2 linked regions of the Saccharomyces cerevisiae S288C genome follow. The protein of the gene in region 1 interacts with the protein of each later gene in a biochemical or structural test. Each region holds a gene or a part of one and is shown on either strand. Other genes may lie near its edges.

Region 1 (8,401 bases):
GATTTTGGAAATAATAAGTCTTTTCGACCTTTCTAGAATAACATTTTTTAGGATGTCCAGGAGTTGACATAACTTATCAAAATCCTTTGGTGCTAGCATTGCTGAATTTTCTGCGTCCTTGTTGTCTTGATCGAGATTATTGGACCTATACTTGTTATAAATTTCTTCTTTATCTGCTATGAATGTTATATTATCCTGCCAGCTTTCATTGATCTTCCCTTTAATGATGTCATCAATGAGTTCAGGAGGAATCATCAAATCATTAACCATAGGAGAGATATGTGCCAGTTTAGTGGAGTTGTATTCGAGCAATGACTGTAATTCATTGGACTTTTTTTTAATGAAGTCTAAATCTTGTGTGTAATTTGATAACCTATTAGTGAATTCGGTTAAGTAATCAATCAATTGAGGAATAATTATATTAATAGCCGCTTCATTGTTAGAATGAGTTTCCTGTAATGATTTAAGTTTAGCAAATGGTGACTGATCTTTGTTTGAAGGCGCTTTAAATTTACAATCCTTCAAATAGTTTTCAAAAGGATCATCCGTTTCATTTGTTTTATCTCGGCTCGTTTCCTTCAGCTGGTCAAATTTATCTTGGTCTAGTGACAACACCTCTTTGAGAACATCCATAGTTCTATGTCTTCAGCTAATTTTTTTACGCTTTTGTTGCTTATAGCTTATTCCTCTTTCCTCTCACTTGTAAAAACTCTTGATATACCTTATATTTTTTCGAACTATTCTCGGAATACGCTAATGAGAATAAAAATATTCGAATCTTTAAAAAAAATGTGGATTGCCTCACTTATATGTTTGATACGCAGTCCTATGTGTACTTAACCAGTTATAAAAATAAAATATAAATAGAAAGTATAAAGTCAAAACAAAGAAACAGTATGTTCCAAGATTTCTACTCACGGAATTTTTTCCAGTTTTTTGGCTTTACCAACCCTTGAGCATCATAATATTCCTTACCACAAGAGTAACCTTGGAAAGTGAAATCATTACCTTGGTCACATTCACAGTTGTTACTGTTATAGACCTCCTTGTCCAATGGGCAGTTATCATAAGGTGGATGATGGTAACCAATGTCTGAAAAATAATGGATTTTATCCTTTGGCAAAAACAAAGCAGCAGCAATAGAATGAACGGGAGCATCGCCCCATCTTTCGTAGAAAAATCCACCTTGATGATCCAAAGTGTCAAAATACTCTCTGTAGGCTGGTGACCTCCACAAATTCAAGTTTGCAATTTCAAAGTTTGACCAGAAATGGCACAGATTGTATGTTTTACCATTATCGTTCGAAAGAAAACTCATCAGGTTGTTTTCATCTAAGTATTCGGGGTTCTTTTTGATGAAATCCATGGACGTTTGCCATAGTGTTGGGATCGTCACTTCATATTCATGAATAGAAACGGTAAAGCCGTAAACTTTTTCGTTTTCTTGCATCCACTTAAAAACGTCGTAATTAATATCACAGTATAACTTGATGTCTGGTTCCACACGCCAGTACCAATCGTACTCTTCTAATAATTCATGTCTCCAGAAAAACCCAGATTGGTAACGACACATGTGTCTATAAGATTCGGAGCCACCGTATATGTATTTGGTGGCAGCATCTGCACGAATTTCAGCAGCCTTGGTTTGATTAATCCATTCAGGATATGACCAATGTTCCTTGGGCAAAATACCAAACTTAACTTCGGAAGAAACAGCTTTGGTGACTGCTTCCTTGAATTCTTCAGTAAAAGGTTCATCGTTTAGGAAAACCCAAGGATATGGGAATTTCTTGTTAATTTTGTTTTCCACATATTTAATGGAGCTTAGCAAACCTTTCAACTCCTTGTTTCTCACCAAAGTGACGTAACAAGCTTTTGGCTTACCAGCTTTGTTAGCAAAAGATGGAGTGATATAATCCATGGTTGTTTTAGTGTCGATCGGGGCATCTGCCTTTTCAGCGGCAGCTTTCAGAGCCTTGGATTCTTCATCCATGGCTTCGGAGTCTTCGCTTGCCTCTGAATTCAGAGCACTTTGCTCTAATTTTTTAGCATCATTTTCCTCAGAGATGACTTGTTGTTCAGGGGATATAGATCCTGAGGTAAAATCAAATGCAGCGGAGATGGAACTCGGAATATATTGCTGAGTTCTACTGTTGGAATTCAATGTTAGGAGGAGAACAATAACCGCACCTGCAATGACGGTAAATCTCAACAGTCTCTTACTGAGAAAGAGGGCCATGCTTTCGAGTGGAACTGCTTGCGAATATGGATATCACTTCCAGTATTATAGATTCATAAAATGTATAAACGAATTAAATCGCAAATTATCTCCTTTTCAGACTGTTTCTTCACCAAATTTCTTTTTTTTTTCCTACTAGAAGAAGGCGTAGCAGATAAGAAGGAAAAATTATATTAAGCGTGCGGGTAAAGGCAAGGAAGAATCAAGTAAGACCTCAAGAATGGCACTATAAGTGTGGTATTATAATCTGTGTAATCCTAATTTGAGCTCTACACAATACCATTCGACGGTTAACAGCTACTGCATCACCGTCCAGTCATGTCGTACAACGGAATAGGGCTCAAGTCGGCAAAAGGGTCATCTACGTCGGGCCACGTGCAGCGATCACTTGCTAGCAACAATAGGCGCAGACCACAGGGTAGTCAACAGCAGCGGCAACAACGACAAAATGCGATCAAAAAGGCCAGCCATGACAAGGCAAGCAGGCCTCTTGCTGTGCAGAAACAGATAGAGACTCATATGGAGAAACGTGAGATTGAAGTACAAGTTAGCGAGCTACGGGACCGACTGGAGGAGGAAGAAACGCTCTCGGAAGAGCAGATTGACAAGAAATGTGAAGCGTTGAGGGCAAAACTGACGAACGAGTGGCAAGAACAGCAGCGGATGTCCTCTTTGTACACCCCTCGTAAGGCGCGTCTAACGGAAGAGCAGCATCGACATGAATAGCAGCATTGACGATAGCGATAAGCTTCGCGCGTAGAGGAAAAGTAAAGGGATTTTAGTATATAAAGAAAGAAGTGTATCTAAACGTTTATATTTTTTCGTGCTCCACATTTTGCCAGCAAGTGGCTACATAAACATTTACATATCAGCATACGGGACATTATTTGAACGCGCATTAGCAGCATGATGACTCACACATTACCAAGCGAACAGACACGTCTTGTTCCTGGATCTGACTCGAGCTCTCGTCCTAAAAAGAGACGGATCTCGAAGAGATCAAAGATAATAGTATCCACTGTGGTCTGTATTGGTTTGTTGCTGGTTTTAGTGCAACTGGCATTTCCAAGCAGTTTTGCATTACGTTCTGCATCACACAAGAAGAAGAATGTCATATTCTTCGTGACGGATGGGATGGGACCTGCGTCTTTGTCCATGGCAAGATCATTCAACCAGCATGTTAATGATTTACCTATAGACGACATCCTGACACTTGACGAGCATTTTATCGGGTCTTCGAGAACAAGGTCCTCGGACTCACTAGTCACTGACTCAGCTGCGGGCGCCACCGCATTTGCATGTGCATTAAAGAGCTATAATGGGGCCATCGGTGTTGATCCGCATCACAGACCTTGTGGTACAGTGCTCGAGGCGGCTAAGTTAGCAGGTTATCTCACTGGGCTTGTTGTTACGACAAGAATCACAGATGCCACTCCGGCTTCATTCAGTTCACATGTTGATTACAGATGGCAGGAAGATCTTATCGCTACGCACCAGTTAGGCGAATATCCTCTGGGGAGAGTAGTAGACTTACTCATGGGTGGCGGCAGGAGCCATTTCTACCCTCAAGGCGAAAAGGCTTCTCCATATGGTCACCACGGTGCTAGAAAAGATGGAAGAGATTTAATCGATGAGGCTCAATCTAATGGCTGGCAGTACGTGGGTGACCGTAAAAATTTTGATTCTTTGTTGAAAAGCCACGGTGAAAACGTTACTTTACCTTTCTTGGGTCTCTTTGCAGATAACGACATTCCTTTTGAAATTGACAGAGATGAAAAGGAGTATCCTTCCCTTAAGGAACAAGTCAAGGTGGCTTTGGGTGCCTTGGAAAAAGCTTCCAATGAGGACAAAGATTCTAATGGGTTTTTCTTAATGGTGGAAGGCTCCAGAATTGATCATGCTGGTCACCAAAACGATCCAGCTTCGCAGGTAAGGGAGGTGTTGGCTTTCGATGAAGCATTCCAATACGTTTTGGAGTTTGCTGAAAATTCCGATACGGAGACTGTTTTGGTCTCTACGTCGGATCATGAAACGGGTGGTTTAGTCACTTCAAGACAAGTCACTGCTAGCTATCCTCAGTATGTCTGGTATCCACAGGTGCTCGCCAACGCCACCCATTCAGGTGAGTTTTTGAAAAGAAAACTAGTAGATTTTGTTCATGAGCATAAGGGCGCAAGCAGCAAAATAGAAAATTTCATCAAACATGAGATCCTGGAAAAAGATTTGGGTATTTACGATTACACGGATAGCGATTTAGAAACATTAATTCATTTGGATGACAACGCAAATGCTATCCAAGACAAACTGAATGACATGGTATCATTTAGGGCCCAAATTGGCTGGACCACGCATGGTCACAGCGCAGTCGACGTCAACATATATGCATACGCCAATAAGAAAGCTACATGGTCATATGTCTTGAACAATTTACAAGGCAATCACGAAAATACGGAAGTTGGCCAGTTCTTAGAAAACTTTTTAGAATTGAACCTGAACGAAGTCACTGATTTGATTAGGGACACCAAACACACATCAGATTTTGATGCTACAGAAATAGCTAGTGAAGTACAACATTATGACGAATACTACCATGAGTTGACCAACTGATCCTATCTAACTCTCCCTCTTTTTTCACATATTATTTAATACGTTATAATTTATTTGAATATATATATATATATATATATGTATATATACTAACCGCATGACACGTACTGTATCGCATTTCGTTTCGGAGTGCAGGCGAGTTTTAGGTGCATTCTATAGCGTGAAGAAGTGAAATCTCGTCATTTCTTCAAGTTATGCCATTCAGTCCAGATTGTTTCACATGCTTTCATATAGTCATTTTTGTCGTCGCGAACTTCAAATTTGAAAACATCATCATACAGAGAGATTTCTCCAATAATGATCCTTTCTTTGTCGTTGTCATCATCGGCATCGTCGTTAAGTGAAGCGCCCTCACTTAATGAATTTTTCGTGACAGAGCATTCAATGTCTTCATCAGTCTTACTTATGATTGGGTCTCCGTTGTGGTGTTTGGAGACAAAGGTTCTTTTTCTCGATGTCAAATCTTCCAAGTGTGGTGATCTACCAGCCAACTTCTTCCTCTTTGCATGGTAGTCGGCTGGTATTATACCATTATTATACAAGGGGCCGGGATACATCGGGGAATAATAGCCTTCGTATGCGTGCGTTTGTGTTGGAGTTGAAGAATATGGGTAGCATGGTACTGGTGGCAGTCCAGTATATGGATAAGGGTAGGTTGCTGTCATATATGAATTGGCCACTGAAGGATGATAATCTTGATTCGTAGGAGCCATCCTACCCATATATCTGACCCTAAGGCTATTTTTGTGCTGCGGAAATCTTGTTATGTTTGGTGGAGCACTTTTAGATCCATGCAAATGAGAAGATGCTTGTATATCGGAAAAATTTAGCGCTGGAGGTACCCTTTTCCTCTTTAAAGAATGATTCAGCGACTTAAAGGGTACGGTTTTCTCTGCTGGAGAAGTCGTAATGGTAGGAGGCTTACCACTATGATCTTCCTCTTTTTGCGACAGCCTAGATATGAGCAATTTTTGATTTTTTTCGATATCCCTGGATTTTTTGATCTTCGAAATCATTTTCTCACTCAATCTGTCTTCATCAAGCCCTGGAGATACTAACAGCATTCCCAGTTGCTGCAAATTCCTGGGATCATTTTCCTGAACAGTTGATATTTGCTCTTGCTGTGGGTCTTCTTGCTCTTCTTTATTCATAATTTTCCCTCTTTGCTTAAATATTCCTGCAGGCTTAACTATACCACATAAATACCACTGCAAGCAATAGAAATGAAAAATAACATTAATAACCAAAATTTAAATGGCTGTATGTTTATTGTTTATTTGATCTGCACATTATGTAATTATTGATAATTTAATAGACGTGTCCGCCGGGTGATGAAGCTGTGACATATCACAATTTTATGTGTACCTGTTGTATGTATACGCTCTAATGTCCGATATCATCATACGTGCATCACTTTGTAGCCTTCTAGGATGGCGTCTAGGTGAATACCGCCGTAGTGTTTAGGAAACTAATGTTATGGGTGGTTGTTGTTTCACTATCCAGTAATACTTTTGTGGTGAACTTAAGAAGCTTAGGGGTTACCCCTTCTTCTTGAACTAATTTTAAGAAATAACAACGAGGAATAGTGTGTATTTTTAATTACTGATCAGGCCGCATGAATATACTCACCTGTATACGTAGCAAAATTTCAGTCTCCTACTGTATATACGTCTAGATGGACTCGGTGACAAATTTTTTCTGGAATGACACCTATAATGCTGGTACTCCAACTAGATCAACTCTCAAGGGGAAGAAAGTGCAAAATGGCATAGATGGAAAAAGTCAGGCAAAGAAAGAGAGCATATCTAGTGGTTCTAGAACTAGTGATCCTACACGTGGTAGTCTGCCATCTTCCAGTGGACAGCCAACTAGTGGTGGCGGTTTTCCCTCGACATCAAACATCCAAAAGATGATGGCAGATACCCTGGTAGAGAAGATAATCAAAATGGCATTACCACCATCTTCCAAAACGGCTGTTGATACAATTCACCATCGTATGGTTGCTGGTAAAGAAAGGCCTAAGCTGTCTGTGCAGATCACGAGTAGGAATTTTATACAGATGAACTCGAGACTAGGGGTACCATTCATGATTATGGATGAATTAATAAAGATATTAAACTGGACTAACCCAGCGTATACAGTATCTATCATGTTCTTATACACGCTCATTATATTGAAACCTTTTCAAATGCTTTCTTCGCTCCCTATATTCTATTTGTTATTCTGCGTAATGGTCCCGCAATACCTTTACATTCATAAGCCAAACCCTACAAGCTATCTAGATAATAATCAAACACCAGCACAAGGCCCACCTTTGCGAAGACCTGAGGTTCCTAAACCAGTCCCTGAACTGAGCCAAGAATTTGTCTTAAACCTCACGGATTTACAAAACCATATGCTGCTATATGTTAAATTCTACGATTTTACTTTACTCATATTACAAAAGTTTGCATTCTTCACCAACGAGGCTATTTCGTCGTTTTATTTTATTGTATTGTTAATAATAGCAACATTAAATTTTCTGTACATGGATAAATTTATCAAGCTCATTCCAATGAGACCCGTACTGATACTGCTAGGTTGGGGTTTTTTTATTGCCTCGCATCCGTCCAATCGTGAATATTTGTTGACTAAATTGAATTCGGAGGAGACAAGATTAAAAACTTTGACTATAAGTACTAATCTGGAATCTAAGATTTTGCAGCATTTGAAACTCATTGAGGCTAGGGAGCACCGACTTGTTATGATCTTTGAGATCCAAAAGTATCTTCCTGAATACAAAGAATGGCGCCCAGTTGGATTCTCTGATGACGATTATTCTCTTTTCTCTAGTTTGAGAATATACCAGAGGCGTATTGAGGAAAATTCAGTGAAGTCATTAGAAGAAATTGAGCCACCTAAGGATTGGGAATGGGAAGCCAATTCTCATTGGGTGCTTGATTTGGATCCAAAAGAATGGGTAGAGGACGAATTTATTCAGTATGTCGAGATAGATTCAGAAACAAAATGGGTCTATGACCTCAATCTTGATGGACAAAGGGGCTCATATAGAAGGCGAATGTGGACCAACAGTTGCGTGCGGAAAAAACTGGATTCTGGTATTTCTTCAAACCTTGGTGAGGAGGAAGTAGTTAATCCATTGAGGGAAGAAACATATAGGCAAGGCGTACATGGCGTGACGAAGGGTTCAATGAGTGGCGGTCTAACTCACAGTAGTGATGATGACCGCGCTGATGAGGAAAGTATAAACGGTACTATTCCTAATCTCAACAATATCGACGCGGATGCATCTTATCCGTCAATCGAAGAGCTAACAGACACTCTCAATTCAACTATATAAACTTGATTTGTTATACTATATGTTCACTGATGATACAGTCAACTTTTCATAAAACTTTCTAATGACAGTGACGAACTTTTCTTCTTTTCCATTTTTTTCTCTTGATTTCTTTTCGATAAAAGGTTTGTAAGTGAGTTCAACTTTCTCTTCTTGGATCTCTCCTTACCAGTACTAGTTTTACTCTTTTGGGGCTTCTTTACCGCGTACGAAACCTT
Region 2 (5,583 bases), on another chromosome or scaffold:
GAGACCAATTATAAGAGCAAATAACATGCATATAAGATTGAGGTAAAGAGATATTATCGCTATTCCAACGAATATGAGCTCTTGGTGTTGAGATTTTTCCCTTGGTAGTTTCAGGAGGCTACCATATATTATTACATTGTTTTCTGAAATCTATAACATGGGTGTCTAATTATATAGAGAGTAGCAGGAAATCTTCGACGAGTAAGTCCAGCATGGAGTTACTCTCTTATTATTCCCACACCAAATCCTATTCCTATGCTAGCAAAGATAGCTAACATCTCTATACATCCTAATACAAAGCACAATGTCCTGAACCATTGTACGTCAATGTCCCATTCAAACCCTTTGAGGAGGCCGATTCTATGTTCATAATTCATTATCATTCTCATTAATCTATAATTTGAAACGCCATTATTTCCATTGATTGAAAAGAAAAAGAATAAGGGCGGAACAAAAAGGCAGATGCACAGTGTAGTTATAACCCTTGGAATACTATAAATCTCGGAGAAGCCATATATTCGGGAATCAAATGAACGTATGGAGGAGGAATCTATTCTTTGAATGGGCATTGTTTCCATTTGAAAACTTAATTGCTGATCTCGATCAATTTCTTGAGGAATTTTTTTATATTGATGTTGCTTAATACTATTGTCACCTTTTCCGACCCCAGAAGCTAAACCAGCTTCTATATTACTTTCGTATTCCTTTTCGTGTAGTTGGTTTGGACTACGCATGGTGTCCATTGCGATACCAAGAGGGACTTGAGGATTAGGAATTTTCTCTAAATCAATTTCGTTGGTATTCTTCTGCCTTTGATCTTGCATTCGAGTTCCAGAGGTTTCATTAGTTGGATTATACTGCCCATTAGAATGCACTGTATTTTTTAAAACAGCGGAAGAACTTCGCTGGTCATTAGCAAGGTCAGCTGCTTCAAAAGGCTTTAATATGTCAATTAATAGGGAATGGTTTCTTGGGGTTTTGAGGCTAGTGGACTTATTCGCTGGTATTCTGTTCCAGGCCTTTTTAGGAATTTGAAATTCATGTGGGATAAACGCTTTATCGGGAAAAGTACCATTTAGCGTGCTGTTAGGAACTCTGCTTTTTGCTACATCAACAGCCCCTTCCACAGGAGAAACAAGATCTACACCATACCGCATAGAAGGAAATGAGTATGTACCTTGTGTTTGCCTTGTAGACTTATTTCCGGAGACGGTAGCCCTTGGTCCCTGGTACGGCGCAGTTCCTTCGGGTGGTGGATAGAATAAAGAAGAAGGTCTGGTTCCCAGTTTCTCGAAGGATTTCATTGAAGATGATTCCATATGATCTCCTCTGGTCGTCCCAGCGTGCTTTTCTGCCGAACCCATATTCAACAGCACCGAAGTAGAGATGGTACCGCTGCTGCTGTGTCCATTTAGGTTAGTTTCAGCGGAAGACCCGTTTGAGGAATTTCTGTTCCTCTCATTTGAATTTGGCGGAGGTAAAGGGAATGCTGCTACTTCTGGATCTCGTCGTACTAAATCTAAAATTGAATCCTCTAGATCTCTATGTGATTCCTGATGGAAATTGTCATCTCTAGCATCTTCAAAGACTTGTTTACCATCAGTACTACTTGAATTTGTATCTCCTTTGAGGATTTCACTATACTTGCTATCATCAATATAAACATTGTATGACTTCACTTCTGATGATGGAAATGAATCAGATCCTTCGATGAACAGCGAACCAGATCTTATTCTTGCTCGCGGTTGATGGAATATTGGGTGGTCGTTCTCAGGTAAAGATGCGGATGAAGCCGTTGCCGATCCAGATGTGGATTTTGAATTTTCTGTCGTTATCGAAACATCTCTGGTTATTTTCGTCATTTCATAGGATGAAGAATGAAATTGTTGTAAAAAAAAAGGTAGTGAACGTATAAAGTTGGATGCTGTCTTCGAAAAAAAAAATAAGGTGTTAAATGAGTGGATGGTTTGGTATGCCTAAGCAAAAAGCTTTAGAAATCAAATTGAAAAATAAAATCGAGGGGAAGCTGGAGATAAAAGTAAGGCAAATGTCAGATAAATAGTTGCAAGGTGAGAGTGTACTATAATCTTTAGTAGTTGTTGTATGGTGATCCTTCGTCACCGTTAAGAAATGGAGGACAATTAAATGGAATACTCTGGGACGTTACAAGGAATAATAGTATGCTAGAATGAAAAAAATAATGGAGTCCTTCTACGTGTCAATGTACGTATGTGGCAATTAAGATAAAACTTTATAACTATACCTTAACTATTCTTGCATATATAATAATGCGAGATAAAAAATCACCAACTTTCTCCCTTTTAGAGAAATTAGCTTTTAGACTACCTTGGCTGGGTATTAGTTGTGAATATTTGGTAAATATGGTCAACTAGAAAACGAATGCGAACATCTAGCCAGGAATAAACAAACCCAGTAAACAAAACTTCTACTTAATACTTAAGAATAGAAAGCACAATGCCAAGACTTACTTGGGAGCCCATTCACTGTTGAATAGTGCTGGATAAAAGGTGTTGATATCGCCTCTTTGATTACAGTCGCGTCAGCTCTCCAAGCACACGCGATGGCTGGTTTTTCTCTGCATTTCCCGTTTAGGCAAAGCAGTGAAGAGGCTCATGAAGCCGCATTTCGTGTACTTCTGCTGGCGAAAAAAAAAAACTTGTTGCCGTGGCGCCATTTCGTTCCTTGCATTTTTCCATTGGCATGCATCGTGCATATGTGAGTTGAAGTTTCTTACTTACATATTGACCTACAGACCACAACGTGTCACTGCTAAGCTGAATATAGGGAAATTTTAGAAGTATGGCAGAAATGTTCTTGTGAATACTATTCCATGGTCTTCATTAGTTCATCGTAAAGCATGTCTTTGAGCATTTCTATGGGCACTTCTTCCTCCTCTTCCGGACGCATTATCTTGTTATCCAGTTTCCAAAATTCATCATCCAAATTAAGTGGAGGATATTCCGGCTCATCACTTGGGTCATGGTACATTGCCAGGTAAGGGTGTCTTAAAGCTTCTGCTGCGCTTATTCTTTTGTCAGGATTGAATTGAAGCATTTTGTCTAGTAAATCTATCATATCTGGATTCAGATCGGTCTTTGACCAGACGGTCTCCCATGGCAAGGGTGGCCTCATAGGTAAGTTTGCTATATACTCTTTAGCCCTCTTGGATTTGATCTGATTAAAGTCTTCGAAAGATGGAGTTCCCAAGACTTCTAGAATTAGCCATAATTGATGATGATAGTCTCTGCCTGGGAACAAAGGCTTCCCGGAGACCATTTCAGCCAAAATGCATCCGCATGACCATATATCCATCGCAGTTGTGTACTCTTGAAAAGTTAGCATTATCTCGGGTGCCCTGTACCATCGCGTTGCGACGTACTCCGTCATGAATCCTACCAATGTTTCTCTTGAATCGCTACTGCTAGCTAAACACCTCGCTAGTCCAAAATCGCAGACTTTGAGATCACAATTGGAATTTAGTAACAGGTTTGATGGCTTTATGTCTCTATGGATAACTTGTGCACTGTGAATAGACTTTAAGGCTCTGAGGATTTGGTATGTAAAGTATTGAACATGGTCATCACTTAAAGTGGAAAACCCGCTATTCTGATTATTAATTACTTTTTGTAAATCGGTTTCCATCAACTCTTCGACTAAATAAACAGCGTTTAGTTTGTCTATGGATACTGGCCTTACTTTATCCAATATACTTATTATGTTTTCGTGTTCATGGAAATACCGTAAAAGCTTGATCTCACGTATAGTTCTTGTAACAAACAATTTTTTGCTAAACGGTTGTATTTTCTTGATAGCTACCTTTATGCCGGAAGGCTTATGAATTGCTGAACATACTGTTCCGTACGCTCCCTCACCTATTAAATCTACGAGTTTATATTGGGAAGGGATATCAAAAGTTATGGTTCTAGCCATCTTTGAATTGTTGAAAGAAAAGTGAAGAAAAGATACTTTTTTGTTGAAATAACCTTTTCTATCTTTAAAAGATGCTTTCTTTAAATTGCCAAATTTTTAGTCGGCTTTTGATCTGATCCAGTGGAAAAGAGGAAAAGAAAAAAAAATACGAAAACAGTTCGGGAAATTTAACGACTGCAAAGCACAATATGTAACTGTTCAAGTCTGGCTTCTGGTCAGATAAAGTGCAATATCTACAGATTGGAAGTACTTTGGGTGTCTTAATAAAAATACATTATATATAGAAATATGCCTCGATCTGTAAATTTCTAACAGCTTCACAGCGCGTTTTGAATGTGAAAAAATCAGGAATGTGGAGGAAAGATGTTCAAAAAGTTCGAATTTGAAGAGCATACTGCTCAAACGGTTGAGGAATTCAAGGTAATCTGAGGCTTCATACATAATAAGTAGCCAATCTTTCTTTCCCCCAAGTAAGTAGCTCAGTATTACTAAGCCGGTAAAAAATAACATCTTTCATTTCTTTCACCAAGGGGAAATAGTAATATACTCATATTTTGGCTGGACTCTCGTAATCTGTCAAATTTTTTTCGTGCCGATTTCTAACTTAAATTTAGTAAATAATGTTAGTATTTACTTTTCAATTGTAGATCTACCTAGTTTCAAGATTATGTAGAAAAGAATGACAAAACATAAATACTGTTGGAATAAAAATCAACTATCATCTACTAACTAGTATTTACGTTACTAGTATATTATCATATACGGTGTTAGAAGATGACGCAAATGATGAAAAATAGTCATCTAAATTAGTGGAAGCTGAAACGCAAGGATTGATAATGTAATAGGATCAATGAATATTAACATATAAAATGATGATAATAATATTTATAGAATTGTGTAGAATTGCAGATTCCCTTTTATGGATTCCTAAATCCTCGAGGAGAACTTCTAGTATATCTACATACCTAATATTATCGCCTTATAAAAAATGGAATCCCAACAATTACATCAAAATCCACATTCTCTTCATGGTAGCGCCTATGCTTCGGTTACTTCTAAGGAAGTCCCATAAAATCAAGATCCGTTAGCCGTTTCAGCTTCCAATTTACCGGAATTTGATAGAGATTCCACTAAGGTTAATTCTCAACAAGAGACAACACCTGGGACATCAGCTGTTCCAGAGAACCATCATCATGTCTCTCCTCAACCTGCTTCAGTACCACCTCCACAGAATGGACAGTACCAACAGCACGGCATGATGACCCCAAACAAAGCTATGGCCTCTAACTGGGCACATTACCAACAACCATCTATGATGACGTGTTCACATTATCAAACGTCACCTGCGTATTATCAACCGGACCCACACTATCCGTTGCCACAGTATATCCCACCACTGAGTACTTCCTCACCTGATCCAATCGATTTAAAAAATCAACACTCTGAAATACCTCAAGCTAAGACAAAGGTGGGAAATAACGTCTTACCACCACACACTTTAACATCAGAAGAAAACTTTTCTACATGGGTTAAATTTTACATCAGATTTTTGAAGAACTCTAATCTCGGTGACATCATTCCAAATGACCAGGGTGAAATCAAAAGACAAATGACTTATGAAGAACATGCGTA

The links.
Region 2: the proteins of DIG2 (region 1) and KSS1 form a complex in vitro, tested with the Saccharomyces cerevisiae proteins (2 studies listed by BioGRID, with this or other methods).

The regions. Positions count from the first base shown.
Region 1 is NC_001136.10:1,414,995-1,423,395, reverse strand, and holds DIG2 (Dig2p), read right to left. Parts: upstream 5,998-8,401; coding exon 5,026-5,997; downstream 1-5,025. Other genes in the region: VPS52 (Vps52p), read right to left, coding at 1-633; alpha-1,2-mannosyltransferase KRE2, read right to left, coding at 911-2,239; U2-type spliceosomal complex subunit CWC21, read left to right, coding at 2,558-2,965; alkaline phosphatase PHO8, read left to right, coding at 3,146-4,846; PEX29 (Pex29p), read left to right, coding at 6,522-8,186; SNM1 (Snm1p), read right to left, coding at 8,225-8,401. UniProt on the Saccharomyces cerevisiae protein: DIG2 and DIG1 are negative regulators of the filamentation and pheromone induced mating program. DIG1 and DIG2 inhibit the transcriptional activity of STE12 by direct protein-protein interaction.
Region 2 is NC_001139.9:573,766-579,348, reverse strand, and holds KSS1 (mitogen-activated serine/threonine-protein kinase KSS1), read right to left. Parts: upstream 3,952-5,583; coding exon 2,845-3,951; downstream 1-2,844. Other genes in the region: BUD9 (Bud9p), read right to left, coding at 219-1,862; YGR039W (uncharacterized protein), read right to left, coding at 4,150-4,461. UniProt on the Saccharomyces cerevisiae protein: Together with closely related FUS3, KSS1 is the final kinase in the signal transduction cascade regulating activation/repression of the mating and filamentation pathways, induced by pheromone and nitrogen/carbon limitation, respectively.